Lytechinus pictus: one gene and its partners. The protein of the gene in region 3 purifies or fractionates together with the protein of the main gene of each other region. This does not show direct contact. Links are inferred from orthologs where the notes say so. Each region holds a gene or a part of one and is shown on either strand. Other genes may lie near its edges.

Region 1 (7,573 bases), on a different chromosome or scaffold from region 3:
TATTAAATTAGACATGGCAAAATCATTCATCTAAATACAGCAATTTAAAAAAAATGAAATGCATGACATATTTTTTTATACACAGTGAATCTATCTAAATAAACCCATTAAATATACGATATTCAATATATACAGTATGTTCAATATACAATATATCATTCTTACAATATGAAGTGACCACTATGCTATTAATATTATTACAATTAATAGTTCCATCTCATCCATTTTCTTTTCAAAAGACCCTTTGAACACTTTTATCTTACTAATGGTGTGAAATATGAAAAGCTTCTAACAAATTATACTCAAATATTCAAATCATATATTTTCTGAAATGGTTTCTTTCCAAAGGTAATGAAAACTTTCAGTAAAGTTTTAGTTAGATTTAGCTCTTGATCAAAATCAAGTAATATCATAATTATTATCAAGCAGAAATTTTAAATTTTTTTGCCGAAATAGCAGACACAAAACTTCTCTTAAAAAGTCACCAATGGTGAGTCCTGAAGTAATACTTGGAGATATTACACCTCTAATTATTTCTAAGAGGCCTAATATTGTTTTAAATTGGCTTGGAGAACCAATGAATTTGAATTAGAGTCCTATTCCCATAGCTGACCCTTGTCCATTAACCCATGTCTACCCATCATAATCCTACTCTTAACAGTGCAGCAAGTCCTTCACTTGCTTTGATTGATTTATTTCTGTTTCTTTGACTTCATTTTTTATTGTTTTCCAACAAAATACAATTATTTTGACATTGTAGCATGAGCAGGAGGGAAAAAGATCTGAGGTGAAGAGTGATATTCAGGGGTGGATCCAGTGTCACTTATGCTCCCCCCCCCCCCCCCTCTTGACCTCTTTTTAGGGGTACTTTTGACTCTTTTTGTACACCACTAAGAATGTATTTGGAGTCATCATTTTCTTATAGAAATAAAAACAAAAATCAGTGAGGAATTTGCAGGAGACTGCTATTGTTAACTTCAATGTATGGTGATCTCCTATATAAAAATATTCAGGTGGCATCTTCTTGACTATTCATAACTGATGATCTCTAGATTGATGCATGTGTATGTGAAAGAGACAACTACTGTGAATTTGTGTAAGGGAATTTGAGTATTAGGTGTAGATCATATTTTTTTAAGACATGGCTTTCAGGGAGTATATGTGTAAGTAGATACATTGGTGAATCCATTGTCTGGGGGCACAGGTCCCTAGAGAAAAAATCTGAAATTTAGACAAAGTACAAAAAAAAAGTGTGTGAACATAATTTGTTGGGCCATGATTTTGAAGTTGAAATTGACATTGCCTCTGTTGACAGAAAGTTTATTCAATTTAAACCAGCTTGATACATTAACAATTCCAGCATTCAAAATTTGTAATGAACGAGGATCTTTGTGAAATTAGAAGATATTCAAATTATCAGAACCAAAAAAAAGTGAAGCTCCGTAATGTCATTAGATGAGGAATAAAAGTGGTCCTAAAATGGGGCCCTTTGGCACACTGCATTGGGGGTAGAAGAGAGTCTGAACTAGGTCCATGTGATATTGTCCATTTGATGAGTATAGACATAATCTAGAGAGCAAAGTAAACTGTTGTGATGGGTTGTTATGAAATGCCTTGTTCAAGTAGAAGAATATTCCAATTATGTGTCCTTCATTTAAAGTGACAGCTCTAATTTTATCATTTTTATTTGAAATTATGTTCTGTTGAATCATTTTTTTTCTTGAAAATATGTTTATTCAAATAAGTATATTATAACAATGAATATACAGTGTGCTAAAAAGTTAGTGAACCCCAACAGAAATTGAACATATATTATAGTGTTCAGTTTTGCCATGTTTTAGACATTTACTTGTGAAGTCAGTTGATAAAATATTACATTCAGTAAAGTTTGTTTCTCTGGACTCTCGGGATAATGTAGTGCAGTCTACATTCAACACTCAGCATGAAAGAGTGCATTTTCTGGTGGGGTTCACTAACTTTTTGACACCACTGTATTGCATTTAAGTTTATTGTAGACCATTATTGATCAGAATTTTGGACAATGGGAAGTAAAGAAATGTACAGTTTTGATTAGTCATCCTTTTTTTAAATGGCCTTGACTCTATCAAGTTATTTTGAGATAGATCTGGTTGGCACCATGAAATAAAGAGTGGTTAGAAATATTGGTTACAGTTATATCAAGCAGGTAAATTATTTCTTTTGTGACCAAAAACTTGTAAAATCTGAATTAGTTTGTTATTTCACTTGCAATACTTGTTATATGTTATTAATTATTGTCAGATTTATGGCATATATATGTATTTTGTAAATACAGTCATATTTTTTGTATTGATATCAATAAACCTTTTGTTATCAAAGGATTCTTGAATTTGTTTCTCTTGTGTGTTATTCTACCTACAAGGAACTTTTTCTTGTAACATAAATAATTGAACTTTATGACATTTTATAATTTTGCTAGATTCACAAAACAGATATATTACAAATGAGGGAATCAATGACGTCCTGAGTGACCCACTCACTATTTGTTTCTTTTGTATTAAATCTGAAATATTTTAATGTTTTCCCCATTGCGATGTGAAATAACTGAAGGTTTGATTCCTCCCTGGACATGTGGAATTGCAAGTTTTGCAATCTTTTGAAGACTTTCTCATGTGTCAAATCCGCAAAGCTTTTTAAAAAGATAACTAGGTTCATAAAATACAAAAGAAAATAATACTATGTGACATTATTGGTTCTGTCATTTGGATAACATGCCAAAATAAGCAGAAAATTTTAAAATTTTGTGACTTTCATTTTGTAATCCGTTTTTGATAAAAATTTTATGAATTTCTGGTTGTTGGATTTTTTTCAGAATCTATTTCAAATCAACTTTTGGTGACATGATTGCGATGGACATGACCTTTAATTTATCCTTTCCACTGATAGTCCTTTTATTATGCATGTTTGAAAATCTATTAACAATCTGGGATAATGAATCTGGACTTGCGGTCTGGTATGCTCGTTGAGAAGATGAAAAAAAGATCATAAAAAGATTATATTATTTAATACAATCATGTGGATAAATGCTGCCAGGCAATTAGTCAAGCCTCTTGTGTTAGACACAGATTTTTAAACCTGATATAAACGACGTTTGAAGTTAAATTATAATATGAGCCAGGAAGTCCCCCCCCCCCCCCCGCCCTTGCCCTTCTAAGTTGCAATTTTTAGAATATACTCCAAAGCATTGCAAACTAAGTGATTAAAAAGGGGTAGGATATAGTAAATTTTGGCTAGCGTGATGTGAATTAATAAAAATAATATTGAAGAAGCATTATCTGGAATTAAAATATACCATTCATAATTCCTTTTCTGTTTTACTGCTACCCCCTGATATTTTCTTCATGTTCTCTTATAATTTAATATAAATTATTATCCTTTTCTTTTTCAAATTCTCATTTTCCTTCTTTCTTTATATACCTGTAATCACCCACTAGTCATCTACTCAACCCATTTCTTACTTTACTCTCTGTTCTGGTTGATTCTCCTGTATACCTTCCCCCCTCCTTTCTCTTTTCCTCCTTATTATATTTTCCTTATTCTTTGGGTTTTTTCCCCTCCCACCCCACCCCCTTGCCTTCTCTTTCTCCTCATCCTCTTAATATTTTCTCCCATCTTCCCCATTCTCTTTCTTTTCCTCCTTTCTCGTACTTTTCTTTTTTTTTCTTCTCCTCCACCTTTTTCTCCTTTCCTGTACTTGGGACTTTTCCATTCTTTTCTTCTTCTTCTCATCCTTATTCTTCTTCCTCCTTTCTTTACTTTTCTTTGCTGTCCTTTAGACCCCTTTTAACGCCTGTCCTGCCGTTCCTGTAAGCATATCTTTTTCATTGACCAACCTGTTCTCCCCATTCCTATAAAGCGCCTCTTCCTAGCCGCCATTACGATTGGCGGCGGAAGCCAAAAAAATTAGGGGGGACGCAGGAAACAAAATTAACAAGGCCCCCCCCCCAAAAAAAAAAAAAAGTTATCAACCAAAAATTTTAGGGGGAACCACCTAAATTTTTTGACAAAAAAAAAAGTTATCAACAAAAGATTTAGGGGGACCGTCCCCCACCTCAAATTTAGGGGGAAAGGACCCCCCCCCCCCCCCCGCTTCCGCCGCCTATGGCCATCACTCCCAATCCTTCCAAGTTTCCAAGCACCTCCAATCATCACATTGATTTTGTAAAAAGGTATAATCTTTTGAAAAGAAAAAGAGAAATATGAAGCAACCAAACTTGGGCTTACGTAAATAGGGGATTTAAATCTGGTAGAAATATCGAGATGGGGACCAAATTGATTGGACTCCGTGTCCCGACTCGTGTGTAAAGTCGATCGACTCGAGTCAACGATTCGGGATTTCCCCTTTACCCCGGCACGACTAGAGAGGGCGACAATGACTTTCGCGCATGTTCCAATTTTTCCCGCGACATGATTAGGTTACTGTTCTGCAAATGCATGACATATTAGTAGGCGGCAAGTAGTAAGAATTCCAAAAATTTTCTGTAGAATCTGATTTTTTGTGCTTATCCCCCTATTTTTAGGGTGCTGAATACGAATCTGCTTGTTGCCAAATTTATAAATGCCGTCTTGGACCGTTGCCATGGCAACGGATTAATTTCTCAAAAATTGCATGTATCCCCCTGTAAATGGTAGATAAACATGATATAAATTAGCCAATAGATTGATTTCAGGGTTCCAATTAAATACAAATGAAATTCGAAAATATTTAAGATCATCAAATTGGTTCCAATTGGCCCGTTGCCATGGTAACTGCTCATTTTTCCTCCAGAAAAGTAAAAATTTTGATTTACAGTTGTAGAATCTGTTTTTTTTTTCATTTTCCCGGCGTTTAGGGTGTTAAACATAGGAGTGGTTTTTGCTTAATGTATAAATACACTCTCATTCCATTGCCATGGCAACCAAATAATACCTAATTTGGTAAAAAAAGAAATAACATGGTAAAAAAAAACAATGGCGAGAAATACAATAAAGGCGACCTACATGTAATCTACATGCATTGGATTTTTCCCACTCATTTAGAATAAAAACTACATAAGTGTTATGCATGAGTTTATTGGAATGGTAGGAATTGATGTTGCCTTGAGAATGCTTGAATTTAAAGATAAATATCAATATTGCAAATGGCCCGTTGCCATGGTAACATCTTATTTTTATCAGAAAAGAACACATTTTGATAAAAACATATAGAGTCACATTTTTTTCGTTCATTTCCGCTAAGTTTAGGTTGCTAAAAATAAATATGCTTGTTGGTAAATATGTAAGTACCATCTCAGACCATTGCCATGGCAACCAAATACCAACTTATTTGGTAAAAAATAACATGTTGAAAAAGGTAATGGTGGGATGTACAGTAAAAACGAACTAATCTACATGACCAAAACCAAAATTACGTAATTATTCTGCATGAATTCATTAGAATGATAAAAATTGATGTTTCCTTGGGAACGCTTGATTTTATTAATAAATATCAATGTTGCAAATTGCCTATTGTCATGGTAACGGCTCAGACCAGAAAAGTTTTAATAAAAATATGTAGAGTCCGATTTTTCTTTCATTTCCGCCAAAGTATACACGTAGGTTGCTAAACATTGATATTATTGTTGCTGCTGCTTTGGTAGTGTATAAAATAATTTAATTTTATATGATAAATATCAATGTTGCAAATGGCCTGATGCCGTGGTAAACATCACTCCTCGCAAAGTTCCCTTCTGCAGACTTTCAACCTGAAGAAAGTAAACTGAGCAGTTTGCCATAGATCTGGATACATATCTTCAGAACCTCCCTGCACTCCCTACTCATTACGACACATTTTTAGAGCTGCTGAAGAAATCATCAAGGAAGAATATTCCACAAGAATGCCGTACAAGCTATATTCAGGACCGGCAGAAACACCATGCAGATTCGGATCCTTGGGAAAGACTCTACAAAGTCCCAATCTAGGTCCCAAGTTACCGCCGGCCAAGTGGCCACCAGCTTCTAGTGAACAACCAAGGTAACCCTCATAATCACCCGCGAAGATCCAACCTAAAAGTGTGCGGACAGCCTGCCAAGAGTCATCTGAGTTCACAAGACCTTTCAGCATGAACGACTTGTGCAATGCTATCAAGCAATGAAGATCAGCAAGGCAGCTGGATTGGATGATGTCCTCGATCTGTGAGCAGATGAAACATCTTGGACCTGTTGCAATCCAACGGCTGCTTGACATGCTAAACTTCTGTCTGAGTGAAAGCACAATGCCAAACTTATGGAGGAAATCAAGGGTAGTTGCCTTACTCAAGCCAGGCAAAAGACCAGCCATTGCAAAGAGCTACCGGCCCATATCTCTGCTTTGTCACACATACAAGATCTTTGAAAGGCTCCTACTCAACCACATTGCTCCCTTGGTGAATGAGCTCCTCATTCCAGAACAGGCAGGATTTAGGCCGGAAAGTCCTGTACTAGTCAACTGCTGAATCTGGCACAGTGCATTGAAGATGGTGGCTTCGAGAAAGGGTTGATAACTGGAGCAGCCTTTGTTGACCTCATTGCAGCTTATGACACAATCATCGAATACTCACAAGGTAAGTCTTTGAGATGACAAAGGAAGGCTTTAGCTAACACAGATGATTCAGAGCATGCTCTCAAATCAGCAGTTTTTGTGCATCTCAGTGGTTTCAGTAGCAGATGGCTGACACAGAAAAGGTCTCCCACAAGGAAGAATCATCGTCCCACTCTTTAGCATCTACACAAATGACCAACCAATCCACCAAATAGTGAGAGCTACCTGTACGCTGATGACATTTGCATTGCTTCACAGAAACAGTCCTCTGAAGAGATGAAAAAGCACTCAGCAATGCTCTGGTAGGCATGACTCCTTACTACGCTGCAAATCATCTCTGGGAAAATCCAGAAAAAACCCAACTCAGTGCTTTTCACCTAAAAAACAGAGATGCAGACCAATAACTAAGGTTCAGATGGTATAGAAAATGGTTGGAACACACCAGTAAGCCAATCTACCTTGACGTCACCCTAGACAGTTCCCTTACCTACAAAGACCATGTTTCCAAGACAAAGGCTAAAGTTGGAGCAAGGAACAGCATCCTGAAGAAGCTTGCCAACATAAAATGGGAACAGATGCCAAAACCATCCGTGCGACAGCTCTTGCTCTATGCTACTAGACTGCTGAGTATGCAGTCCCCATCCGTTTTAGGTCATCACATGCTGCAAAGATTGATACAGCCCTGAATGCTGCTTGCAGAGCAATTACTGGCTGCGACAAAACAAGAGCAGATGATCTCTACCTACTGTGTGGTATTGCCCATTCACACATCAGAAGATAGGTGTCAGCAAAGGTGGAAAAACGAGCAAGAAGATCACCCTCTTCATCCACCCTTTAACTATGAACCTGCCAAAAAGAGATTTAAAAAAAGATGTAGCTTCCTTCACTCGACTGAATCCCTTGATGGCTCTGCTCACAATCAAAGGGTCACCCTATGGTCCAACCATCTACAGTCTGTGACGCACAAGCTCTCCTATGGACCTAGCGAATCACTTC
Region 2 (8,478 bases), on a different chromosome or scaffold from region 3:
AAGTAATGTATTTTAATTAAATTCAGTATTAAAGAAAAACATCTTTGTAATGATTTTTTTTGTGCATAATTCTTTGAGCTATACTCATTCATTACATGATGAAATTTAAATGAAAATGTCACAATTTACATGAAGGAGGAAAGTCATGCTACCCAATATTTCATTTTGTTTTTTGAAACTGAGAAGTAGGGTTCACACTTGGACACAGATGTGTTCTCACGAAAGACCAGAGGCTTGAATGTTGTGTACACTCCAACTGAAGTGGAGTGAAATGTATCGATGGGTGAATGACGATCATTGTTGAAATTATGTGTTAAGGTAGATCAAATGATTGCCTAGCCGCGTCTGAAAGTATCGATGAATTGTGTCCGCTTATTACAGAGCATGATGTATATAACTATGTGTGTATTGATGGAATATGTTTGTATAATATAGCTATCTGATTTCAACTATCTTTATGATAAGTTTGGGAAGTGGGATTGTTCATTCAAAAGATTATCATTATACATAATCTTGTTTGCTGTGTGATAACACTGTACAGTTGCTCACAGAACTAACAATTATCAATATTCAAATGTAAAAAGTAACATTGTTTAGTACTAAATATTGGCAGAGAATTCATTTTTCTTGAGGATATGACCCTCCCACTGTGCCAAAAGTAATTTAAAAATGCAGTAGAGGTGTAAATAGAGACCATATAATACTGTACTAAGGGGCATGACATTGTCACTGACACATAATAGGTTGTTTATGTAAATTTCTAACGACCTTTTGTTTCATGTCACACTACTTATGGACACAGTTTGGACAGTCATACACTTGAGGTAGACCCAATTATTAGCCAAAATTCTGGAGATTAATAAATATATGAATTTCTGACATTCAGAAATCATTCAGATCATCTTTTTAGAACACTAGCTTCTGGGCACCAATAATATTTCTGTACAACATGGTGTATGATATTGCTTTGACCATCCATGTCTCATACTTGAAATTTCACATTTGAGATAGAAGTGTTGCAATTTGCAGTGTAAAATGACTGGTTTTGCACTTATGATTGTTTACTCTACAGATGAGCATTATTTTCATTATGGGTTTTCAGTAATATTAGGATTGCACTAGAGTTTTCCCTTCGTGCATGTTGTATGTGTTGTTTTTGTCAAAGTGATTATTTACAATAATGTGATTTTGTCTTGTATTTAATTGGTTTAGTATTTTCCATATTGTCTGCTGAAATGGCAGAATCGTTACAATCCTCAAGCAGACCTACCATTTTCTCAACTATGTTGGTTTACAGCTTGTCGGTCATGTATGATCCAAACAATTATTTTATTATCAGAACTAATATACGTCATATCATGTAAGTACCAGAGGACTGGGTACCAATACTCATCATTAAGATATTAAAAATCTCTCCCAAACTGAAGAGAGAACATGAAATTGCCCAACTAACACCTACCCACTGCTTTGAGGTACCATTTAGAGTCTTAGTTTTCCAATAATTTCATTAATGCGATTGTCATCAATTCAACCAGTTTTCAATGGAAGTTTATTAACGTCTTTTCATGGGTAGGAATACTAACATAATCAATGTGGAGTCTTGAATACATTATGAATACAAAGTATATACATTACTCTTTTAGTTAAAGTCATTGTTAGGTCGGGATTCTTGTAGATCTACTGGTGATTTCCTATCAACTTGAGATTTACCCAGAAATCTCACTGTGCTGCAGCTCGATTTGTTTTTAATGTACATGTACATTCCTGCATTTTGTGAATAAATATTCTGTCCACCATCAAACGTAATGTGCCATGTCATATATTTCTACCAATCATAGTCTTTACAAACTTCCCTGGTTGCAGTGCTGATACAAAGGAGATAGAGTCAAAGCTGTCTGTTACAGCCACCCAACAGAAAAAAAAAAAGGTCTCTGTGGACAGGTGGCATTTTTTAGATGGTTCCGTGACATTTGCTCCGGTGACAACTGCTCCGATTGAAAATCTGCACATTGAGCGAAACATAAAACCTAACCCCCAAAACTAAAAAAAAAAAACCTAATCCTAATATTTACATCATTCTGAACCAAAAACTCTATTACAATCCTAAGTCTAACCCTATGCCTTCTGATATATTAAGACCGGAGCAATTGTTGCAGGAGCAAATGTTGTGTCACCTTATAGACAGGTTCTATTAAACATGTATCACTTTCAAATGGGAGACAATTTTGTTGGCCACTAAAGTAAGGTTTTCACTATAGATAGGTTTGACTGTATTTACATTTGATTGTGGGGGAGTTTCACAAAGCTCTTTGCAAGTGATGTTCACTGTTGAATCCTTGCATCTGATCGGCTGAAAAGCCTGACAAGATTCTTCATGAAGCTCTCCCCTGAAGTCAAAGAAAAGGAGGAACAGCTTAGGCTCTGGGGGATGTGAAGTTCGGTGTTGACCTTTGGGTGCTGGGCTGATTTTTTTTAAATCATCAGTACAGCACCAAATTAAAAATGAAGTTGGTCCTTGGATGAATCTTACTAGATGTTGAGCTATCAGTATCAATTGGGATGAGATTTGCAAACTCACATTGGTTCTTGGATCTAAGGAAGGCAATCTTGATTGTGCTTCCAACCCGAACATAAAGGACTTGCAACTGTTGTAACTTTGCCATTATGGCAACTACCATGGTAACATTGATTCTGATTGGCTGCTGAGCCCTGTTACCATGGTAGTTGCGATTATGGCACAACAGTTGCAAGTCCTTTATGAAACAGGGCCCATTTCATGAAAATTGTTATGATGACAAGTTTGCAAGAACAGCTTAAAGCTCAAGTCCACCCCAGAAAAATGTTGATTTGAATTAATAGAGAAAACTCATACAAGCATAACGCTAAAAATTTCATCCAAGTGGGATGTAAGATAGGAAAGTTATGACAGTTACATGCACACCTTGGTTCTATGCGAAAGAGAGAATCGATGTCTTTGTCCCTCACTATTTCTTTTGTTTTTTATTAATTTATACAATACTTTGATTTTTACAGATTTGGCTTGACTGAACAACAAAATGGTTAAATAATTGTATTCCACATGTTCAGGGAGGAATAGAACTTTGTTCCACATGAAAATGAGAAAATTGTAATATTTTATATTCCACATAATAAAATACAAAAGAAATAGTGAGTGGGTGGTGTCATCAATTCTCTTTTTTGCATACCGACCAGGATGTGCATATTTAAGCGAAATTTTAAAATAGCATAACTTTCTCATTTTACACCTGATTTTGAGGAAATTTTCAGTGTTGTGCTTATTGCATTTTTCCCTTTTTATTCAAATCATTTTTTTTGGGGGGGTGGACTTGTCCTTTAAAGCTTCTGAAATCATTCAATATAATTGGCTAATAGCAAATTTCTTACAGAAATTGTGGACTTAACATGCCATTATGAAACGGGGCCCTACACCAATACCAAACTTGATATCCCCTGTTTTTTTAAACCGAGTTTTCAGCGACATGAATGAAATTGTCAGCTCTGATTACTTCAGGCATATTTTTGGTGTTAATTGGGTGAAATTGGGTCGAGTTGTCCAGCCGATCTGGCTGTTCGGCTTGTCGAGCTGTCTGGACCCCGTGTAAAAAGTTGTGAAATATAGTTATGCAGTGCCAAACTGCTCTCCATTTGGGGTGTCGGCTGTGCTGCGATATCATTTAAAATTAAGGTACCCCAGGTTCTAAAACTGTACTGCAAATGTATTTAAAAAGGAATGTATTTTGGAAGAAATCAACCAAGTTCAAGTAGGCCTATCCGCCTATCCCATCTTCACCCCCCCCCCCATAACAAAATGTTGGCTCAGGGGGGGGGGGGTAGGTGGTTATCGGGCACGTATGAGGTGGCATCATTGCCGGATTGAATTCCTTCAGTGCTGGTGACAGCTTTCAACTTACATAATCTCTATATGCAAAGCAAGCACATAGGTGAGTCTCTCACAGGGGCCGCAGAACCCCGGGGGGGGGCACTCGACCAAAAAAGTGGTAGGGGTGTGCCGCGGGCGAGGCAAAAAACGGGGGCCTTGGAGCGGGCTTATTTTAAAGGAGGGTCCTCGGAACGGGCTTCGGAACTACAAATGTTTGTGAAAACGGGGGTCCTCGGAACGGATCTCCGTATCTCTGTGAGTGCGTATGGAACGGGCAATCGTGCATAACGCAGCTAGCACGGCCTCCGCCGGGTGCGCTCGCGCTTAGGCGATGGTCGAAAAGCGCTCTACGGCCGCTTTTCACCAAAATTGTAGCAAATCAATGCGACCGGAACGGCGTAACGAAAAATATGCGAAGCTCTGGAACGGATTTCTTTCTTCTTTTTTTCTCGATAAGAAGGAAATGCTATGCCTTGGAGCGGCTTTCTTTGTTCTTTTTCTCAATAAGACAAAAATGCTATGCCTTGGAACGGAAATTTGAGTGTAAAAATGGGGGTCCCCTCCGCGGCACATACCCACTATGCATTATATACTGAGTGCCCCCCCGGGCGCAGAACTGTTTTGAAAATGGGGGGGGGGGCGGCTGCATGTCCATATAAAAATCAGGGGACCGTTTCATCAACATTTTTGTCTGACAAGTTGTCAGATCTGACATCTTTCCTTGATTCTGATTGGCTGAGAGGCACTGTTACTATAGTAACTGTCGGATCAAATGGGACTTGTCAGATAAAACGTCCGACAAGTCCTTTCATGAAACGCTCCCCGGATGGTCATTTTTACGTCTTGTACATGGTTTTGAAAAAAATTGGAGGCTGAAGCCACCCCACCCCTGGTTCCGCACCCTCTTTGAGAAGAGAGGAGGCAAATTTCACGACAGGTGAGGGGCATATTACTGATTTGCCCCCCCCCCCCCCCTTCCGAAAACATTGGCATTGTTCCATTACGCTGCCATAGTGCATGCCTGCTGCGCCTATGGTGCATGCGTACGACGACACGTACGTCTCGCGCGCCGTACAACGCCTCGCAAAATTCGGCCATTTAATCATCACGTAAACTCTCGGAGAAGACTGTGCTCTATCTTGATTAAAAAAGAACCACTAAATTTAATCAAAATGGGAACCAACAAAGTTCAAAAGAAGACTAAGGTACGTTTATTAATCATGATTACCATAAGTAAGGTTTGAAAAGTGTGTTTTGAGTGTCATGCTGCTCCCTGTTGACACTTAAAATTCTTCGTTTTCATGGCATGTTGGGATCGTTGAAATTGCAAATGGAGACACAGTGCGTGAACGTGAATGGGCCATGAGGCATGAATGGTGATTGCGTGCAGAAAAAAGCAACACGCGGTCTGTGTGCTGGGCCACGTGGTGAGGCTGGCTGGCGGCGTGCCGTGGTTGGTGAATGGTCTTGAAATCTTACTGAGACCGAGTGTCAGACAACTTAATTATTCTTATGCTGTGCTTGTGTAGTGTCCTCTGACTTAAAATTTATTCATGTTCGTCCATTTTTTTTTTTTAAGGGGGGGGGGTTTGCCCAAATTTGAGTTTTATTAATCTATGACGAGTATGACTTGGCTAGATTTGGACTTTTGGTGCAAGATCGCCACATGCTCCAACTAGTCTGCACAGTGCCCCTTGTCTGAACATTATTTAGACTCAACATGGTGCTAAATATTGAATTGAAAGCATTAAATTCATGGAATATCCCAAATAAAATGCAGCCTTGCTTGACAAAATCCCTGAAACTTGTGCAAAGTGAATTGGTACGCAGACATGGGGCACCATTTTTTTGTTTAATCTAAAAATGACTGACCTCAGTTTTTTCCAAGGAAATCAAATTTCTCTCTAATTTGTGTCTCACCTTCAATCCTGCGTCGTCAACATAGAAATCTTATACTATTACTAGGTTAAGTTTTTGAATTATCAATGTCATAACTTAGAAAAATATGGATAAAACTTGGACATAAATGAAACTTAACATCCTGCCTGGGTTTCAAAATCTTCTTTACCTAGAGTTAGATTTTTAAAATGTCATACATGTAACTAAAAAAGTTTGGTCAAGTGTGTGACCAAAATTATGACAAATCTTGACTTTAAAATAGATTGAAATTCACAGAGCAAAATGCTGAAAATTTCATCAAAATCGAGAACACATAACGGAGTCGGTGAATTTTTAAGTTAAGCAATATTTTGTGAAAATACTGTAGTCGCACGTCGTCATGAATATTCATTTTGTGGGCTGATGTCACATCCCCACTTTTTCTCATGTTATTACATAAAATCATAATTGTTTCATTTTTTCATACATGTGTGTATAACGTGTCTCCTTTAATAAGTTGCAGCAATGAATACCGGTATCTAATGCACTATATCAGTGGTCAATCCAATTTTTTGTAGTTCTTGATAGAAAAAAATTGAATAAACCTAATAAAATACAAAAGAACAAGTGACATCAATGCATAGAATTGTTTCACTGGAATAATCTTTAAAATGCCATAACTTTGTTATTGTCCGATTTTGATCAAATTTTTAGTGTTTTTTTTTTTTTACTTTAATGTAAAAAAAAATCATGTAGGCCTAACAATTATAGGTTTCCGAGTTTATGAAACCCTTGCCTCTGGAAATAGATTATTGGGGCATACGTGTAATTTTTTAAGGGGAATCCAACCAAATAAGGAAAAGAAAAATCAGACGAGTTGATAGGTGAAAGTTTGAACAATATTGGACAAACAACAAGAAAGTTGTGAATTTTTTAAAAGTTGTAAATATTGGTAATCACTATACCCATGGAGACTTTAAATTGGCCGCATATGGGATGTCATAGTGATGTAAGGCAAGGACTATTCAATGTACTCCAATACACATTATGGCTAAAATGTCATTTTTCCCAAAAGTTTTATTTCAAATTATAATTTTCTGTCATGAGGTCTTAAAACAATATACTACCTGGGTTGTATTTAGATTACTGCCCCAGGGGAATGGGTACTTAGGAGAAAACCACAAATCCCTGATAATAAAGTACATGGCCTATGGGAAAGTTGTCCTTGCCCCTTGTCATAATTTACTTACTCAGCTGCCAATTTGAAATCTACATAATATTAGTGATCTCAATTTTAAAGCAGCTATAATTTCTTTCAAACTTTCACCATTCTGTATAATTTATTTTTCTTCCCAACACAACATTTTATGGCCAAGGCTGGATTCCCCTTTAAGATGGGGGAAAATATGTGTACTTGTTTCCGGTACCCTGAGGTCAGGCATTGTTTTAGGGTCCATTTCACAAATGGGTAGGAGTGGTCAGTGGATCCACAGTCTGAGCATCCAACAATCATGCTGCATAATTACCCCTAAAATCATCCTAACTTGAAATTTATCCTTCTGCAGACTATTAGCTGTACACCGACGTGGCCTGGATCTGGAGGAATGCTGCTCTTCATTAATCTTCGTCCCAGTTTTTGCATCTTGCGTGGTGCAAATTGTCTAGATATGTTGACTTGTTAAATTTAATGAAGGCTTAGCGAAGTCTTCTACATGAATGCACGTTATGATTGTGGTTAGATTGGGTCTTGCGTGATCCAATTGTGTTTCGATACAATGTGTTGGAGAGGGGAGGTCTAGCGTGGCCTGCTATATGAAATTAACATGTGGCTGGTTTGTGGGTCTTGCGTGGCCCAAAAGTTGGTTGCCAGAGTGTAAGTAATTGGGTACCTCCAATGGTAGCCGGAAAATGGTATTGAAGTGACCCAGTGGTCTTGCGTGGCCATGGTGTGAAGGGTCTTGCGTGGCCCTTGATCTAGGTATCATGCAGGTAATACGAGACAACGGGTCTTGCGTGGCCTGTGCATTTGTAGTACGGGTCTTGCGTGGCCCTAAGTTACATGTAAATAACTTCTTACGAACAGTGGGAGGTAGTACCAAATCTGCATGATTGGCGGAGAGTCTGTGGATAAACTGGTTGCGACAATGGTACCAAGGCCCGGCTTCAGGCTTTCTTAATAGATGACTGACTCGGCTCGCCCTTCCTACCAATTTCCAGACAGACCAGTTCCACTCTCGCCCTCTATCATGTTTAAGTGGTAAGGTACTTGTAGTTGTAGTTGAGATGCATAACCGATTTGAAGTTTTGGTAAATGATCATCCCAAAAATGCATAACTTTTCCAATTCTTTGCTAATGCCACATTATATGAAACCCCTAAAACTTTTCTGATGGAATGGCAAAAAAAAAATTAGTTGGATGGAATTTGTGTTTTGCATGAAAATTTTGAATCATACATGTAGGATCTTTGTCTAGTTTTATTTTTTTTAATAAAATCAGTAAACACAAAATAAGTGCACAAAGATCCTTTTAAAGAGGGAGAGAAAACATAGTAAAAACTCTGAAAAATTCTAGTTTTCAAAATTTTTGGAGGGTAAAACTCTGTGTCATTACAGAGGGAGGGCACGAGATGTCAAAAGGAAGTTTTAATTTTTCCTAAAGAATCGGCTGCTGAAAAAGAGATGCAACTGATACTACACTT
Region 3 (7,631 bases):
GACGACTCAGATTCTATTCGCGTATATATCGGCGAACAACGAATGTGACGATTTTACATTTGCTCATTCGCACCCGTCTTTTGAAACCGACCACCCGCGATACACTAAGTTTACGGCTGATTCTTGTCGCGTTGGCGAAATATTTTGACTCTTCCAAATCAGTTCTATGATGTCAACATGCTAAATGATTGTCTCACTACTTCCACTGCGAGCTCAAGCACATGATTCGACGATTGACGACGGATTTTGTTCTAAAGCCGTTTACTATCAGATTTTTTGGTATGAACAACTGTTTTTCGGCGGGGTTCGGGTCTGGTCAATGCAATTTTGATGAATTCTACTAAATTTTTACATTTTTTGTTGTAAATCGATTCTTACCGTTCCTACGGACACTGCGCCTACTCCCCCTTGCGTATCGTTTGTAATATGCAATAATTTTAATGCGCGCAAGGTGGTCGGTTTCAAAAGAGGTGGTCGATATGTGGTGGTCTCACTCTACCAAATATCTCATAAAATTTTAAAGAAAAATACAGGCGCAGGCGATTCCATTTATTTTGGATCTGTGGAAACACTGTAATGTCACTTGTTCACTGCAACCATCCTGCCTGTGGGGAATCTACAGGTAGGACTATGGTATGCCAATGTTGTACAGAGCACACACTTTAAAAAAATCATTAAAATATCACTTTTGTGACCAAAATTACTAATTTCCATACAGTTGCAATTTATTCTTCATTAGTAACTTGGGAATAATTTTTGTATTCACCAGAGCGCTCAAAAACTTGATTTTTGGGCATATTTTTGTGTACGTCCTCTATTGGTGGAAAGTAGGCAAGAAAATTTTCATTTTTGATCTCTATTTTTAATTAAGAAAAAAATAATTTAAAGAATCAAATTTACTTAAGAGCCAAGTTGTATGAAAAATAGGTGTAATGGAAACTGTCAGTGTAAAAAAATCAAGCATTTGTCCCAAAGAAAAAGAGAAAATAAGCCAAACATTGCCACCCTTATTTTGCCACACATGGAGTAGGGAGTTCGGTGACTTTGAAATCTTGAAGAATCCCAACAAATTTCATATCATTGGAAAGCTTGTAAAATAAGAAAAATATTGGTGCTTCATTCAACTCATTGTCTGATATATTGACGGAGATTATTCTAATTTACAGGGGAAAATATGCAGATTTTGTTCTGTCAAAAAAAATATTAAAGGCTTGGGTGGGGCACTCCTAGTACCAATGAGGTCCAACATTACATGTATGGACCTCATAGGCGACATCAGTAGTATTTTTGGTTAGAAATCTCTGAGAACAGGATATTTAAACATTATATCACAAGTACAAGCTATAATTCCTTTCTCTTATTTAAATTATAATTTTATAGTGTAAATGCATCGTTAGCAACAACAAAAAATGAAAGAAATGAAGGGGAACTTACATTTTCACAGCTTTTTCCTGATTTTCTGGGCAGCTGCTCTTCTCTTCTGACTCGCGATCGAAGCTGATATGAAGATCACGTGATTCGCGTTCTCGTCAGCTGATCGGTTGGTTATTCTTTTCGTCAGACGTTAATAATATATATTTTATAATGCTAGCATTCATCGCTAATTTAGGTGAAAGAGATTGAAGTTAAACAGCGCCAGGTCGGAATCATAATTATTTTGGAAGAGTGTATTTATACACTCGATCTCATACCTGACGTAGACGGCGCTATTCAACAAATGCACAATCTTCAATATAAAAAATAAAACAGAAAGAACGCCTTGAACACAGGCCAAAATGCCTAACGATTTCTCCGCGGCATTAACAACTATCGTAAAGGGCGCTCCATTTATCAATAAAGATGGACGCTAAGCTGTCTATGGCGACAAAATTTGCCGCAAATATTTACGAAGAATTGTGAGAAATGGTCTGAAAATGCAACAAAAGAACCGGTGAGTACCGATTAAACATTATTAAATTTGTAAATAGATTATACATACCTTGTAGATTTAGTTTTTAAGGTGATATTAGTGCTTAGTTCTAAGCTAGGGAGGCCCAAACGCGCGTGAGTGGAGTCCCAGTTTATTAGCACGGGTAAGTATTGGGGTGTCGCCTAGAGTGGGGTGGGGGAGACAGTTTCTTTTTGAAATCTTGAAGGAATCCCAACAAATTTGGTACCATTGGAAAGCTTGTCAAATAAATCAATTCATGTCAAATATTGACAGAGATATGTCTGTTTAAACGGGAGAATGTGCAGATTTTTTTACAGCAAAAAGTAGATTTTCATAACTTACACAAAATGCAATGAATGGGACTGTGTAGGCCTAATACTTTTTTTAAAAGTGCAATGCGCTGCTATGCGGGGCAAGGCATGCCCTTGAACTATACATCATTTTATTCATAGAACTTCAAAGTTTCTCATGGTATACTATAGGTTTCTATAGGGTTTTTCCTCCTCCTTTAATGGCTTCATATTTGTTTTATACATGGGTGCACAGACAGATACAAATTCTGAAAGTCAAAGTGGCATTTCCACCGAACTCCCTAACGTTACATGGAGATATAACCGAGAACAAGGTTATATCATATTCATAACCTTGTTCATTGAATGAGTGTGTAATGTTATTGTTAGAGTCTACACCCCATTCGCTTAGACTTTGCAAAATGCAAGTGATTCACTTCAGCATTTCAGGGATTTTGATGAAAAAGGATGCATTGTTTGTGAGGCTCCACGCCTCCAGTCTCAGTCTCACATGAAATGCCCAAAATTCATTATGTGCAGACTTGGGGAACTTTGCCATACATGTAGTCTACACACTTTCTTTCATTGCACCCAAAGCCAAGGCAAGGCAAAGAAATAAGCACAACATCATACATGTACAACTGCAGCCGGCTTACACTACGCGCAAGCCGTACCCCCATCCATCACATGGCCATGCCAGCCAGCCACGCCGGCGAAACGGAGATCTTGTCATATGGACGCCGCTTGTTTGTCGGAGCCTGGTGCGAAAGTGCATTAGCGCCATTAAAAATTAGACAACATTTTTATTGAATAGAAATCTATAAAAATAATTATTAAATACCGAACTCACGAATCAGCAACTCAAGAAAAGTATAAAGTCTCTAGAGTAGTCCAAATAAGAGTACTTTCACAGATTATGTCTTGATTTGTGATGTTTTCTCTCTTCGAGATCTAGTTCAGTGGCCTCGACCTCCAATCGCCATGTAAGGTCACGTCGTTAGAGGGCGTTTTATGTTTCATGACGAGATATATGGAGGTGCCGTGGCCGAGTGGTCTAAGGCGCCTGGCTATACAAGGAAAGTCCGGGGTTCGATCCCCGGCTACGACACCTATGCTCTTTTATCCTGCATTCAAATAGACGGAAATGCTTTACGCGTTATTTGTAACTAGGTGTGCACTTGTTAAAAAAAAAAAAAAATATATATATATATATATATATATACCGTATATATATATATATATATCCACAAAAGTGGAGGTGCCGTGGCCGAGTGAGTCCGGGGTTCGAACCCCGACCGCGGCACCTATGCCTGTGAGCAAGGTATTTAATGTGTAATGCTCTTTTATCCTGCTTTAAAATAAATGGAAATGCTATAGGCATTATTGGTAACTTGGTGTGCACTTGTTTTTAAAAAATATATCCACCTCTTGATATATTACATATCTATTCTATATATCATAGCTCTTTTATACTGCATTCAAATAAATGGAAATGCTATACGCATTATTGGTAACTAGTTTACTTGTTTAAAAAAAATATATATGATCGATATCTCCATGGACCATTCTGACGAGATTGGCGACAAATCAGCGCTTTGCGTATCACGAAGGCATTTTTTTGTTTTATTAAGTTGTTATTTATTGAATTCATTCAATACACCCATTCAATACAATATCGCTTTTTTTCTTAGTAACATAAGAAAAAAATAAATAATATATATACATAGTTGTTTTATCCTTCATTTGACTTGTCTTCAGGGGCGGTATATTCTAAGAGCACAATAGCGCTCACATATGCGATCCGGCCGGTGCGACGCGATTTTTCAAAAAAAAAAACGCGATTAAAAAAAAAAAAAAAAAACACGCATATATGCATCAAATATGAAAGTTCCAAGAAGTAAAATTACTTTAAATAAAGTTTTGCATATCGTTAGGAAAACTAAAATCACTGTTTTACTTTGCGGCAAGCCCTTTGGTCGGAGTAAAGTCCAAATCGGCTTCAAGTCACAGCCAATGATGACGTCATTATACGATTTGGAATTGAATTTCATTCATTCAGGGATCGCGTCGAGGCTCTAACTGGACTGAATTTCGATTTCAGAAGCCACTACTGTGAAGTCTGATCCGTAATATTAGTTGGAATATCCATATCAATTGTTGGTTATCACAATCAATTTCGGATCGTGTGAGACGAGCTTTAGCGGTCAATTAGCATTTTGGTGTGTCCCTCGGCTTTTTTATATTTGGCAAGGGTGACAATGACCGAAACAATGACAATAACATTTATTCCCACGGTCACCAATAGAGTGGGTACTGATTGGAGAAACAATCATAAAAATGTACAAAATCATCAATGTCATTTCATCAAGTAATTTGCCAATCATTTAGAGTAAATTTAAAAAAAGATCAATAAAAAATACAAATTTTAGCATTAAAAATTATAGTAACAAATGATATAGTACCCTGAAGCTTCAAAAACATATGATTAAAAAAAGAAAGAAAAATTCCAAATAACGACATCATCACATCGTTGGCTATTAAACCACAGTCAAAAAGCTCAAAATATCATATTTCGAGCGTAGCAAAGTTTAGAAAATTTGATAATTAGGCCTACATGAGATAATGGATTAATGCCTTGAAGCTTAAAAACCCAGCTTTTTAAAATTGTAATTAGCATATGCATCTGTCTAATAAAAGGCAAGTAATGGCATCAGCATATTATTGGCTCCAATATTCAATTAACAGCTCAAAATATTGAATTTGGAGCGTAACTTATTGAGAAACGAAGCATAATTTTCCTGCAATTTTTTCAAGGTTGGAACGGATTTCTGGTTTTTCACAATTAAAATGGCTGATTCATTTTTACAGTATTCGGTCTTTCAGTGTAATATTTTTTTAAGATGAAACTTTCTTTCTTTAGCAAAAGAAGGACATTAAACGAATAGATAGTGAAATTCATCACCAATTGATTGAAGGTTGCATAATGTACAAAACCTTAATATGTTCCTTTGACGATTTTCATATCTTCCTGAGGCAAAAGGGTGTCGATGATTTCCAAAACGAAATCTACAAAAACGCGATTCTATCTTTTTTTATTCATATTGATGAGGTAACTTTCTAGACGAAGATTTTCTTTGAATATATAGTAGTTAACACACTGAGAGTTTTCGGTTATGAACGTAAACCAATTATGCAACTGTGAATCCTATATTCGTAGATCTACAGCTTGTTTTACCCAATATCTGCTCGAGGAATCAGAAATGTCAAATAAATTCGTCATGCCCAATCTATTAAGAGTTTGCTTTGGCGTTAACCAACTTGACTGATATATACCTTGATCAGAAAGTATTTTTACAGTCTCGAAAATCATATACTAGACATTTTTGTTTTCCTATTGTGAACTAATCCATACCGTTCATCATTCTTTTCTCAATATATTATTTTATCTAATTTGAATATTTCAAGTTCGCCTAAAACCATGCATGCAGTTTGCCGTTAATATCTGCTTGCAAAATTTCATGTGAAACACTTCTAGATCTCTAATCACATCAAAACCCCATATTTCTGACCCATAGAGGAGTATCGGTAAAACAAGTTGATCAATTCAATTTGGATATCCACTGATAAATCAAGATGATAAATTTTATTCAACGTGCTATACATTGCTCTTCTTGCTTGATTCAGTTGTTTAGCTTGAACTTTCCGAAATCAATTACTATAATTGAAGGTAATTCCAAGATATACATAGTCATCTACTACTTCAAGAGCCTGGTTATTAAAATGTAAAAGAACCCGTTTTTTCTCACTTTGCCACGGGAGAATATAACAATTTTCGTCTTGTCTATATATTCACATTTAAATATCATCTTTTACAATAATCTGATACTGCATTGAGCGCACATTGAAGTTCTTGTTCAGATTTGGCAAGGAGCGTTGTGGCCCAGTGGATTAGTCTCCGGACTTTGAAACAGAGGGTTGCGGGTTCGAATCCCAGCCATGGCGCAATTTCCTTCGGCAAGAAATTTATCCACATAGTGCTGCACTCAACCCAGGTAAGGTAAATGGGTACCTTGCAGGAATTTATTCCTTGAAATATCGAGCGCTGGAAAGGCTGCTTGAACTACACCCAGGGTAATAATATCCAAGTCCTTTGGAAGCGCATAGAGACGTTATTCATAATTGTGATATGCGCTATACAAGAACTGTTTATTATTATAATTATTATTTGGCAAGGACAATGGTATCATACTGCATAAAGTAATGTAAACAACTCCATGTACATATCAATTCCATGATCAAGTAATAATGACTGAAGTTTCTCAGGTAAAACATCAAGACCATCATATCGTTCTCTGATAAATTCTTTAAAATCGTTCATCAACATAGCAAACAGTAAAGGTGATACATTTTCTCCTTGACGCACTCCTATATTACAGTCAAATAGGCCTGATTTTCACCATCTTTGATAATACACGATTTACCTATTATTATTGACCACTTTGAAAAAGTTTCCATTTATATCACTTAAAAGTAATTTGTTCCAAAGTGATGTCCTATCAACAATATCAAATGCCTTGCGATAATCGATGAACGCACTGCCAAACAGGTATAATTCAAGTAACAAAATGTAAAGTAAAAATATGATCTAGCGTTGAATGATTATTCCTAAATCCAGCTTGTTCATTTCTAAGAACACAGTCTTCTTGATATAGATTCAGCCGATGATTTAAAACAGCTGTGAAAAGTTTACCCAGACAACTCAATAAAGTGATACCTCTATATTATTGTTTGGATCTTCGGGTTTCCCCTTTTTCTTGTAAATTGGCCGTATTAAACCAATAGTTAAATCTGTTAGTACAATTCAACTTTCAAACACACTATTGAATAATTCAAGAAGAAAAGGAAGCAGAGAATTAGTTGAGTTCTTAAAAAATTAATTAGGTAGCAAATCTTCACCATTGCGCCTTACCGTTTTTATTTTTTTTTAACTGAGTGATTACCTCATCTCTGTCAATTGGTCTGTTTAAAACTGCATTACTTGTTGGCGATTCAATGATTATTTCACCATTTCTTTCTTTGTGATCTTGATTCAAGTTCCTGAAATGTTCACAAAATGCTTCAATCTCAATATTTCCAAGCGCTCCTTGAGTACGCTTTATGACCATGGCCATGACCGCGCGAAGAGTATATAGTTACGAGACTTTTGGTATTTTGAAAAGTCCGAGTCATAGCCGCTCTCAAACAGTGGCGTAACAGGCGGGGGGGGGGGGGGGGTGCAGGGAGGGCAAGCTGCCCCCCTGGCGGATTTAACCGGGAAAATAATTTTTAAAAAAGGGAAAAAGAGAAAGGGAGGGAAAAGGAAAGGGGAAGGAAAGGGGAAAAGGAAAGGAGGAAAGGGAAAAGTGAAAAGA
Region 4 (8,280 bases), on a different chromosome or scaffold from region 3:
GGAAATCCATTAATGTCATAATTTTTCTTTAGGAAATTTGCACAATGTCATTTGACAACAAAGAGAAGCATACTGAATTGTCAAGAAAACAATGAGTGTATGAATATACAATTTAGAAAATATTTTGACAGACATGTATTTTAGATGACGTTGCTGGCTTTCCATACATGTAGTTGTGGTTGATTGGATCAACCTAACTCTTTGTAAGATGGGACCCACAACATGTGATCTGGTGTATATGGAGGAAGTGGGAGATATGCATGTAGATATCAACATGGAACCAACTTGTGATAAATTCAAATCAATCTAATCTATGGTAGCCAGCCACATAACGCTCGGATATACTCAAATCCATTTGGATGTAGGGGAAAGTTGCATACATGGATAAGATGGATCCAATCTAATCAACATTATAACCTATTCAAGTACACCACGAAAAGCTATGGCAAGCCAAAAGCACCATACTTACTTCTGGAGCAACGTCTTGACCCTGCTCATCTCCTTCTTCCATCTCTACTGAATGGTTGATGTTCAACCGAACTGTTATCCTGTAAGTTCAATATCCAAAACAAGCGGATATCAGGTCAAATCAGATTCAGTGTGGATGTGCAGCATGCACTTTCATTTTCACATTACCATTTCCGGATTGCCCCCATTGTTTTAGTCAAAATACACATCTGGGAATAATGAAAATGTACAATGGTTAAATATTTCAAATCTTATTATGCAGGCCTGTAAACAGATCCGCTAATAGCTGAATTGGGTATTATTTGATTCATTCAATCCATTTACATAATTGGCAAAACACTTGTCTGTGTGTCTGTACAATAACTACTGTCATTACAAGTTGGACACCATGCTCATACATAGGTTTTAAACAATCATCATAAACAAGTAATCTTGCTTTGTTCTCAGCCCTATGAACAAATATTTTGTCCTGTTTTCCCAACTCTAAATAATTTCTTAATACTTTAAAATAGATAGATAGGATGAAATACTGTATACCCTTCCATGCACCACAAGCACTTGGCTGTTGAAAAGTATATACCCTTTTTTCCTGATGTTGAAAATTTTGATACCGTTTTCACTGTATGCATTTACGCTGCCCGATCATGGAAAAAATGACCCGTTCACATGCTTTATTGTCCATCTTGTAAGTGTCCGTGGCCCCTTCTGTATGCCTCATCTCCCAACCATCTTACCTCTCTCCTTCTATATTCCTGGTGAGTGTGATTTCTGCATCATCAACAGTGACTTCAAAACCTGGAATCTTTGGAACGTCCGTTAGACTGCCTTGTTCGACCTCAATCTCTTCTTTCAAGAATTTCACTAAATCACTATCAGCTGTAAAAGGGGAAAAACAATTTGAACAAATGATGACGATGGTGTGATATAATCATTTGAAAGTACAGAGGGGTAACAAAAGTTTCAAAATTACACATACATTTAGACGTTTTTGTAATTAGAACATTGTCCTGATTGATCTTGCCCATCTAAAAGTCATCAAGTTGATTGATTAAAAAAAGAATTAAAAAAATTACACACTGAAAATTTCATAAAAATCAGATGTAAAACAGTGATGTCATTTTCAAGATTTGCTAAATTTCACAAATAGTTGTTATCCCTCAGTCTGGGACAGTGGGACTTGGATAGGGCTATGTGTCTTGAACTCGCCCCATTTGTATTACATGACTCAAATCTAATGATAGTGCACCTATCGGTTATAAAATGGTCATAAATTTAAAAATATTTATCCTATGATCCTATCCATACAAAAGTTGTTTCTTATTGTTCTTTGCTAACGTTACATATCCTCGATATGCATCTGCAGCGTTGTGTGGCGTTGGCGAAGAACAATATTCAATAAGAAACAAGATGGCAGTGTGAACAACGTGCAAGTTTTCCCAGTTTTTTCATATTTTTCGTTTTTTTTAATGAGTTCTTGTTTAAAAATGAAATCAATATGGTAGAAATGTCGGAAATGACGTTGTATCCCATTTACATGATTTAGGGCTAGATCTTTTAGAAGGAAAGTAGAAAATCTGTTGGTTTTTTTTGGAACACGCACATGAATGGGACGCAATCCCTGGCTCCGTGGAGGGTAAGCATACGTTAGTAAATGATTTTTACTCTCTAGGAGCCTCCTGGCTAAGACCAAGCAGGGTCTCACAGAAAATACGCTCAAAATTACATTTCCAGTTCCGCTGAACTTGATCCGTTGGCTCCACTCACCAAATACAGAGACCGAAGTTCTAGCGCGATCTGTACAGCTACAGGGGACTCAATGGCCATATGTTTATGTACTTAAGTTCGGATAAAACAAGGAAGTGAAGTTGCGCGACATCCGAAGTAAGTCACTGTTTTTTCCCCTTTTAAGTTTATTTTCCCCCGTTTTGGTGCATTTCAGGCCAAAACGGAATAATAATCTCTATTTTGGTACAATTCTTTTTCAATATGAAATAAAGACAAAAATCGATAAGCCCCGTCGGGGGGATTTTGCACTGTAAGTCCCCTAATGGTGGCTGCACGATAGCGAGCCGTCTGTGTACGAAAAACTAAATCTAACTCTAAGAAAATAAAAAATGTTTAAAAACTCCTCGAAACAGACGGCTGCCGGCTGCCAGCTTATTCGACTAAGTCTAAGGCAGGGGATTCCTGCTATGAATCATTGCACATCAACACAATTTCTACACTAGATCTATATAATTACCTTCAGTATGCAGGCAAGCGCCTTTACAGCCGCAGGAACAGGTTTTACTTGGCCAAGAAACCCGTGTTGCTCCAGTACCACCTACCAGCGGTCCTAACGTGTCGTCCCCGCGGTTCCCCGTTGAGTTTCGCCGGCTGCCGCTGGTGCACAAATTCCACATCGATCGTGACAAGGTACGCGGTGTTTGACATTCTTGTGATGATTTCAGCAAATATCTGGAGGATAATTTGAAACTACTGAACTGTCTTCCATTGCAAACAGCCCTGCTGACAGCGTTAAGTACTAATTTTGAGGAAGAAAAGGCCATTTCGGGCAGTTTTTCTAACACTACACTATTCTCACGTTCCGCGACGTCGAAAACACATGTGAGTTTTCTCTGTGCGCTGAGCCCCTAGCTAGCTAATTGAAAGTTCCCCGGCCACGATTATGCATGCCCCTGATAGCAAATTATCACTTTAGCGGAGCGGCGAAATAATATCTTTATAATTATGGAGTGCCAAGTGCCCACTTCCTAGTTCTGCTCAATTCTCTATTTCATATCCAAGTTCAAGTTCAATTTATTCAAAAACCAGACATATTATGAGTACAAATCAATGATCAGATGGTACAAAAGAATACATGATACAATATGAACGGTTTTCTAGGACCCCGAAGAAGCACAGCTTGTGAGTGGGGCCCTATACCTCTAAATAAGATGTAGATCTAAATGTATAAAATGACAAAGGAGAATACATAATAAACAGATATATCGACTACAAATATGTACAAAATGTACATTAAACAAGTGTCAGCATAAACACAAACACACTCACACACACACACACACGCAAACACACATGACTAGGGTGGCCAACTACGAGATACATGTAAAACATAATAGACTCTATGGAAGAAAAAACTTTCTAATTTAACTAAGATAATAGATTGTCAAAGAGGTATTTTTTACATTGCACTTTAAACCGATAAAGAGTTGTACAGTTCCTAATATCAGAAGGTAACCTGGACACTCCTTGATACAATATCCATTCAAACATACATTTTCCGAACCTAGAAATGTTCTTTCCGATGAAGTTTTTTTCTTGATCCGTGTTCCTATGGGGATCCTAGGACAATTTGCATAAATCCAAGATGGCTGCCACATGTCCGGGCACATGTCATCTTTGGCAAGGCGTTAATCCACACTTTGCCACTCTCGACCCAGGTGCTAAATGGGTACCCGGCAGGATGTGAAAGTTATTGTATGTTTGAATTTGCCAGCGCCATAATGAGGCTGCGATGAATGCAAGGAATGCTCTCCAGGGAGTGGAAATTGTGCACTTTTCATGCGGGATTGAAACAGCGGCGTAACAGGGGTCGGTGGCCAGGGGGGGGGGGGGGGGCAAGAGCCAAAAATGTCCCAGTCATATCATGGAACAGGCAATGGCGTCATAAGGCAAAAATTTTGAGGGGGCGATATGGCGTATCGGGTAAAAATCCAATTTTGAGATAGATTTTGACATAATGTTAAAAAGATGATATCACATTTCACCCTCCTCTCTTTCCTTTTTTCTCTCTTTTTTTGTACGCCACGGTGAACAGGATTTTTGTTATGATTGTGAGCATCAGGGCGAAGCTCTATATGCTCGAGGGGGCTGAGTATGGCGCTTCTGGCAAGAAGTAGCTTGATATAGGTCCCGAGCGAGCGAAGCGAGCGAGATTAAAAAAAATCACCTTTTTCATGAGAATCAGCTAACATGAAGATAGATTTTAACGTGATATTCAGAAAAATATAATACACTTTCCTTTCTTGCCTCATTTTTTTGTTTGGTTGTAGAACTTTTGGGGGCCATGGCCCAAACTCATCCATATAACAGTGCTTTATGGGTGGGGTCCAGGGCATGCAGAGCCCCGGAACCTCTTGATATCAAAGCCTTACAGATGGCCACTTATTTTAATCAAATTGCGTGTATATTTATAAAGCTTTAACACAACACAAATTCAATGCAGTTGTGTATCGTTATCATCCAAATATTGTGAGGGGCACACCATAACAAATGTGGGAAAATTTATAAAAAGTCGCCAGCGAGAGAAGCGAGCCAGAAAAAAATGGCCTGTTAAAATATAAATTCTAATTATGTGATATATTTTTACATCATTATAGCAAATATCGTGTCATATATTTTTTTTCATTCATCTCATTTCGCTGCCTCCTTTATTTTCTTTTATTTCCCCTTGGCTGTGGAACCACCCCCCCCCCCTCCCCGGTACGCCAGTGCTTCAACGTAAAGCTTAATACAGGAAGGGTTCATATAGGGGCCCGTTATAGAACCCATTAAAGGTTACAGATGAAGAGCCCCCACTGCACGGGGTCTTGACTCTTGGACAGAGCCTTTGGAGATTTAGCAAGTTTATGATAGACTTTCATATACGACATTATGCTATATACCATCCATTTTTCTTCCCGCTCGTTATCTCAATCCTCAGCAGCCCGGTAGTGTACGTTATCTTGTCCCTATTCTTTATTTTCCAATTTAAATTTTGGCTAATTCCATTCTGCCTTTATTTCCCGCTTTTGTTTGCCTTTTTGTCATATTTAATTTATTTCCCTGTCTTACTTATCATGCTAATGTATTTGTATATCGGGCCGAATTGTATTTTCTCACTTGTTCTTTTTTCCTTCCTTTTCCCGTTATCTTTCCGTTTTCCCTTTTTTATGTCTTTTCTGATTTTTCTTTTCCCTTTTCCTTTCCCCTTTCCCTTTTTTCTTACCTTTCCCTTTCTCCCCCCCCTTTTTTTTTCCCGGTTTTTTTTTCCCGGTGAGCTCCGCCAGGGGGGGCAGCTTGCCCCCCCCCCTGCCCCCCCCCCCCACTGGATTGAAATGAATACAATGACCGGGGTAATAATATGCTGTAACGCGCTTTGAGCCATTCTGGGAGAAGCGCTATATAAAAATTGGCTATTATTATCATTATTACGTTTTTTTAGTCTTTCTCCCTATTTGTTTTCCTTTCCCCCGTTTTTTTTTTGCCCATGCCCCAGTGCCCAGCCCCGGAATGATTCGCCACTGGCTGCAATTATACCCTCGCACATTCATGGTTTAAAGATACAACGTCATAAGGAAATTGTATGTATATAGTTATAATACATATCTTTGATTAAGTTTCAAATGACCTTCCTCGTTCGATAACATCCATATTCCAGAAGAATCACCAGCTGCATTCATACTCTATTCACCAGTCTTTCGTGTTTCATTTGCATAGATTGAGAACCATATATTTAGGAAAAGACCCTTTCTTATTTATATACTGGTCCTATTTATTGCAATTATTTTTTTTTGCAGGTGTTTCTGCATTTATTGAAAATATATGAAACACAGTAATCATGGTGAATATAAAGAAATACAAAAATAAATGAAAGAATTACAAATTGTGACGATTACATAATAGAATAATAATTTACATAGATATACATAATTTACAAAGATATTTGGGTAGAACACTTCAATGATTTAACATCTGTCTAATGTTTATACTTTCAAACATCATTTGAAATTAAAGCTCGCTATTCAATACAAATAAACAATTAATTTTGCTGGTATGCTCCAATAAATTATTGAGTATACCATCATAGACGTTTCTTGATATCAGGTTATTCATAATGAATAGGAATAGTGAAATACATTGCTTTAAACAGACGTGTGGAGCGGTATGAGCTGCAATTTGTAAATAGTATTTGTGAAGTGTTGAAAATCTGTACCGGATGGGATAAATGCCATTATATATTCCCCTATCAGATAATGCTCACAATGATATTTATTCTGGCGTATAACTCATTTATCACCCCCCCCCTCTCTCTCTCTCTCTTCCCTCCCTTCTCTTTCAAATATATATTCTCAAAACTTCTAAAACACAACACCTCGGGAAAAAAACATCTGGCCATCATTATTGACACCTCCAAGTATATATTCACCAAAATTACATGAAAAAACAAGTTTAGTTTGATAACACCTTTGCCCTTCTCCCTGGGAAGACACCTCATTCATGTCATTATAATATAGACTTTTTTCCCTGCCACACAAAACAAAGCGATAGATAGAAAAACGCACTGGATTCAATGTAATGGAGAGGATTCGTCGATATGAATAGTCCCAAAGTATCGATCCTCTTTTCATTCTACTGTGATTGTTTCGAGTGGTGTTGTATTATAGATTTGTATAATTGTACTCAATTAATTAGCCATGTGTACCTTTTCATTGTACCAGACAATGCTTTATAAAGTGTTGCCTGTCTATATATTATGCTCGCAATCTAGACAAATTCTTTTTGTAAATAATAGTGATAATAATAATAATCATCATCATCAGCAGCAGCAGCAGCAACAGCACCATCATCATCATTATCATCATCAGCAGCAGCAGCAGCAACAGCATCATCATCATCATCATTATCACCATCATCATCATCATCATCAACACCATCATCATCATCACCATCATCATCCTCATTATCATCATCATCACCATCACCATCATCGTCATCATCATCATCATCACCATCATCCTCATTATCATCATCATCATCATTATCATCATCATCATTATCATCATCATCATCATCATCATTCAGGCAGGGTAGCAACTTCAGCCCTCTTTCTCATGAACTGTTTTCCCATCGGGCCCTTATTACCCTTCTCCATTCTAATACACCTAGAGCCTGTCAAGAAAGCAGATCCGCAGAAGATCCATTTTTTTTGTATGACTCGGCCGTGGATCAAACCCATAACTTTCCGTTCATGAGGACGGTGCTCTATATACAACTGAGCCACCATGTCCAATGGACCGGATACTCATTATCCAGAGCAACAGATGCACTCCACCAACAAATATTGTTTTTTTAGACCAAACAATAAGTTTTGATATTATGTAACTGCTCTGTTGTGGTTCGAGAGCAATTTGCCAGATAGAAAGCATGATAAAATATGTAGGCCTACAGCAATATTACTTAAAATTTATTTATTCAAATTATTAAGAATAATAGTAATTATTATTATTATTGAAATTTATCACATTTAAATATATAAATCAATACGAGCATATTATCACAGCCCGAAATCTACTAAATTATCATCTAACAAACTGAAAGCTGGACGAACATGTGAAATGGACTAAACATACATTAAAAAATATCGTGTATTTACATGAAATGAACAAAAAATGTTACAAAAGAAATTTTTTTCGATTTTTTATGAAGCCTAATATTATCCAAGATATAAAGGTTCCTTGAAATTCCTAACAATATTTGACGAAAATTCACTGCAAATTTTGCTGTACATTTTCAAAAACTTAAATAATATTCTTGCTCACATTTATTTCAAAGGTTTAATGGTTATCTTATGAGGTAACACGGTCCAAATCAATTGAATTCACTCCTATAATATGTTACGCCTAACGCTGTAATTATTTTATTTCATAAATGCTGAAAGCAATTTTTTTTGTCACGTTATGAAATGATATTGTACAAACTCATTCTCTATTCCTTTAATAATTCAGGAACGAAAATTCCATTAATTTGATTCTTTTTCAGGATGAGTGT

The links.
Region 1: the proteins of ATP-dependent RNA helicase A-like (region 3) and FACT complex subunit SSRP1-like fractionate together in Homo sapiens (co-fractionation; 3 studies listed by BioGRID and IntAct, with this or other methods). This does not show direct contact. The link is inferred for Lytechinus pictus from reciprocal best matches to the Homo sapiens genes DHX9 and SSRP1.
Region 2: the proteins of ATP-dependent RNA helicase A-like (region 3) and nucleolin-like purify together in Homo sapiens (affinity purification with western blotting; 3 studies listed by BioGRID, with this or other methods). This does not show direct contact. The link is inferred for Lytechinus pictus from reciprocal best matches to the Homo sapiens genes DHX9 and NCL.
Region 4: the proteins of ATP-dependent RNA helicase A-like (region 3) and complement component 1 Q subcomponent-binding protein, mitochondrial-like purify together in Homo sapiens (affinity purification with mass spectrometry; 3 studies listed by BioGRID and IntAct, with this or other methods). This does not show direct contact. The link is inferred for Lytechinus pictus from reciprocal best matches to the Homo sapiens genes DHX9 and C1QBP.

Annotation. Positions count from the first base shown.
Region 1 is NC_087246.1:34,904,618-34,912,190, reverse strand, and holds the start of FACT complex subunit SSRP1-like, read left to right. Parts: upstream 1-4,392; 5' UTR 4,393-4,498; intron 4,499-7,573. UniProt on the Homo sapiens protein: Component of the FACT complex, a general chromatin factor that acts to reorganize nucleosomes. The FACT complex is involved in multiple processes that require DNA as a template such as mRNA elongation, DNA replication and DNA repair.
Region 2 is NC_087258.1:12,360,626-12,369,103, forward strand, and holds the start of nucleolin-like, read left to right. Parts: upstream 1-4,987; 5' UTR 4,988-5,073; coding exon 5,074-5,106; intron 5,107-8,478. UniProt on the Homo sapiens protein: Nucleolin is the major nucleolar protein of growing eukaryotic cells. It is found associated with intranucleolar chromatin and pre-ribosomal particles. It induces chromatin decondensation by binding to histone H1.
Region 3 is NC_087256.1:29,477,121-29,484,751, reverse strand, and holds the start of ATP-dependent RNA helicase A-like, read right to left. Parts: upstream 3,224-7,631; 5' UTR 3,062-3,223; intron 1-3,061. UniProt on the Homo sapiens protein: Multifunctional ATP-dependent nucleic acid helicase that unwinds DNA and RNA in a 3' to 5' direction and that plays important roles in many processes, such as DNA replication, transcriptional activation, post-transcriptional RNA regulation, mRNA translation and RNA-mediated gene silencing.
Region 4 is NC_087246.1:21,877,075-21,885,354, reverse strand, and holds the start of complement component 1 Q subcomponent-binding protein, mitochondrial-like, read right to left. Parts: upstream 3,201-8,280; 5' UTR 3,018-3,200; coding exon 2,711-3,017; intron 1,345-2,710; coding exon 1,203-1,344; intron 549-1,202; coding exon 470-548; intron 1-469. Other genes in the region: beta-1,3-galactosyltransferase 1-like, read right to left, coding at 8,218-8,280.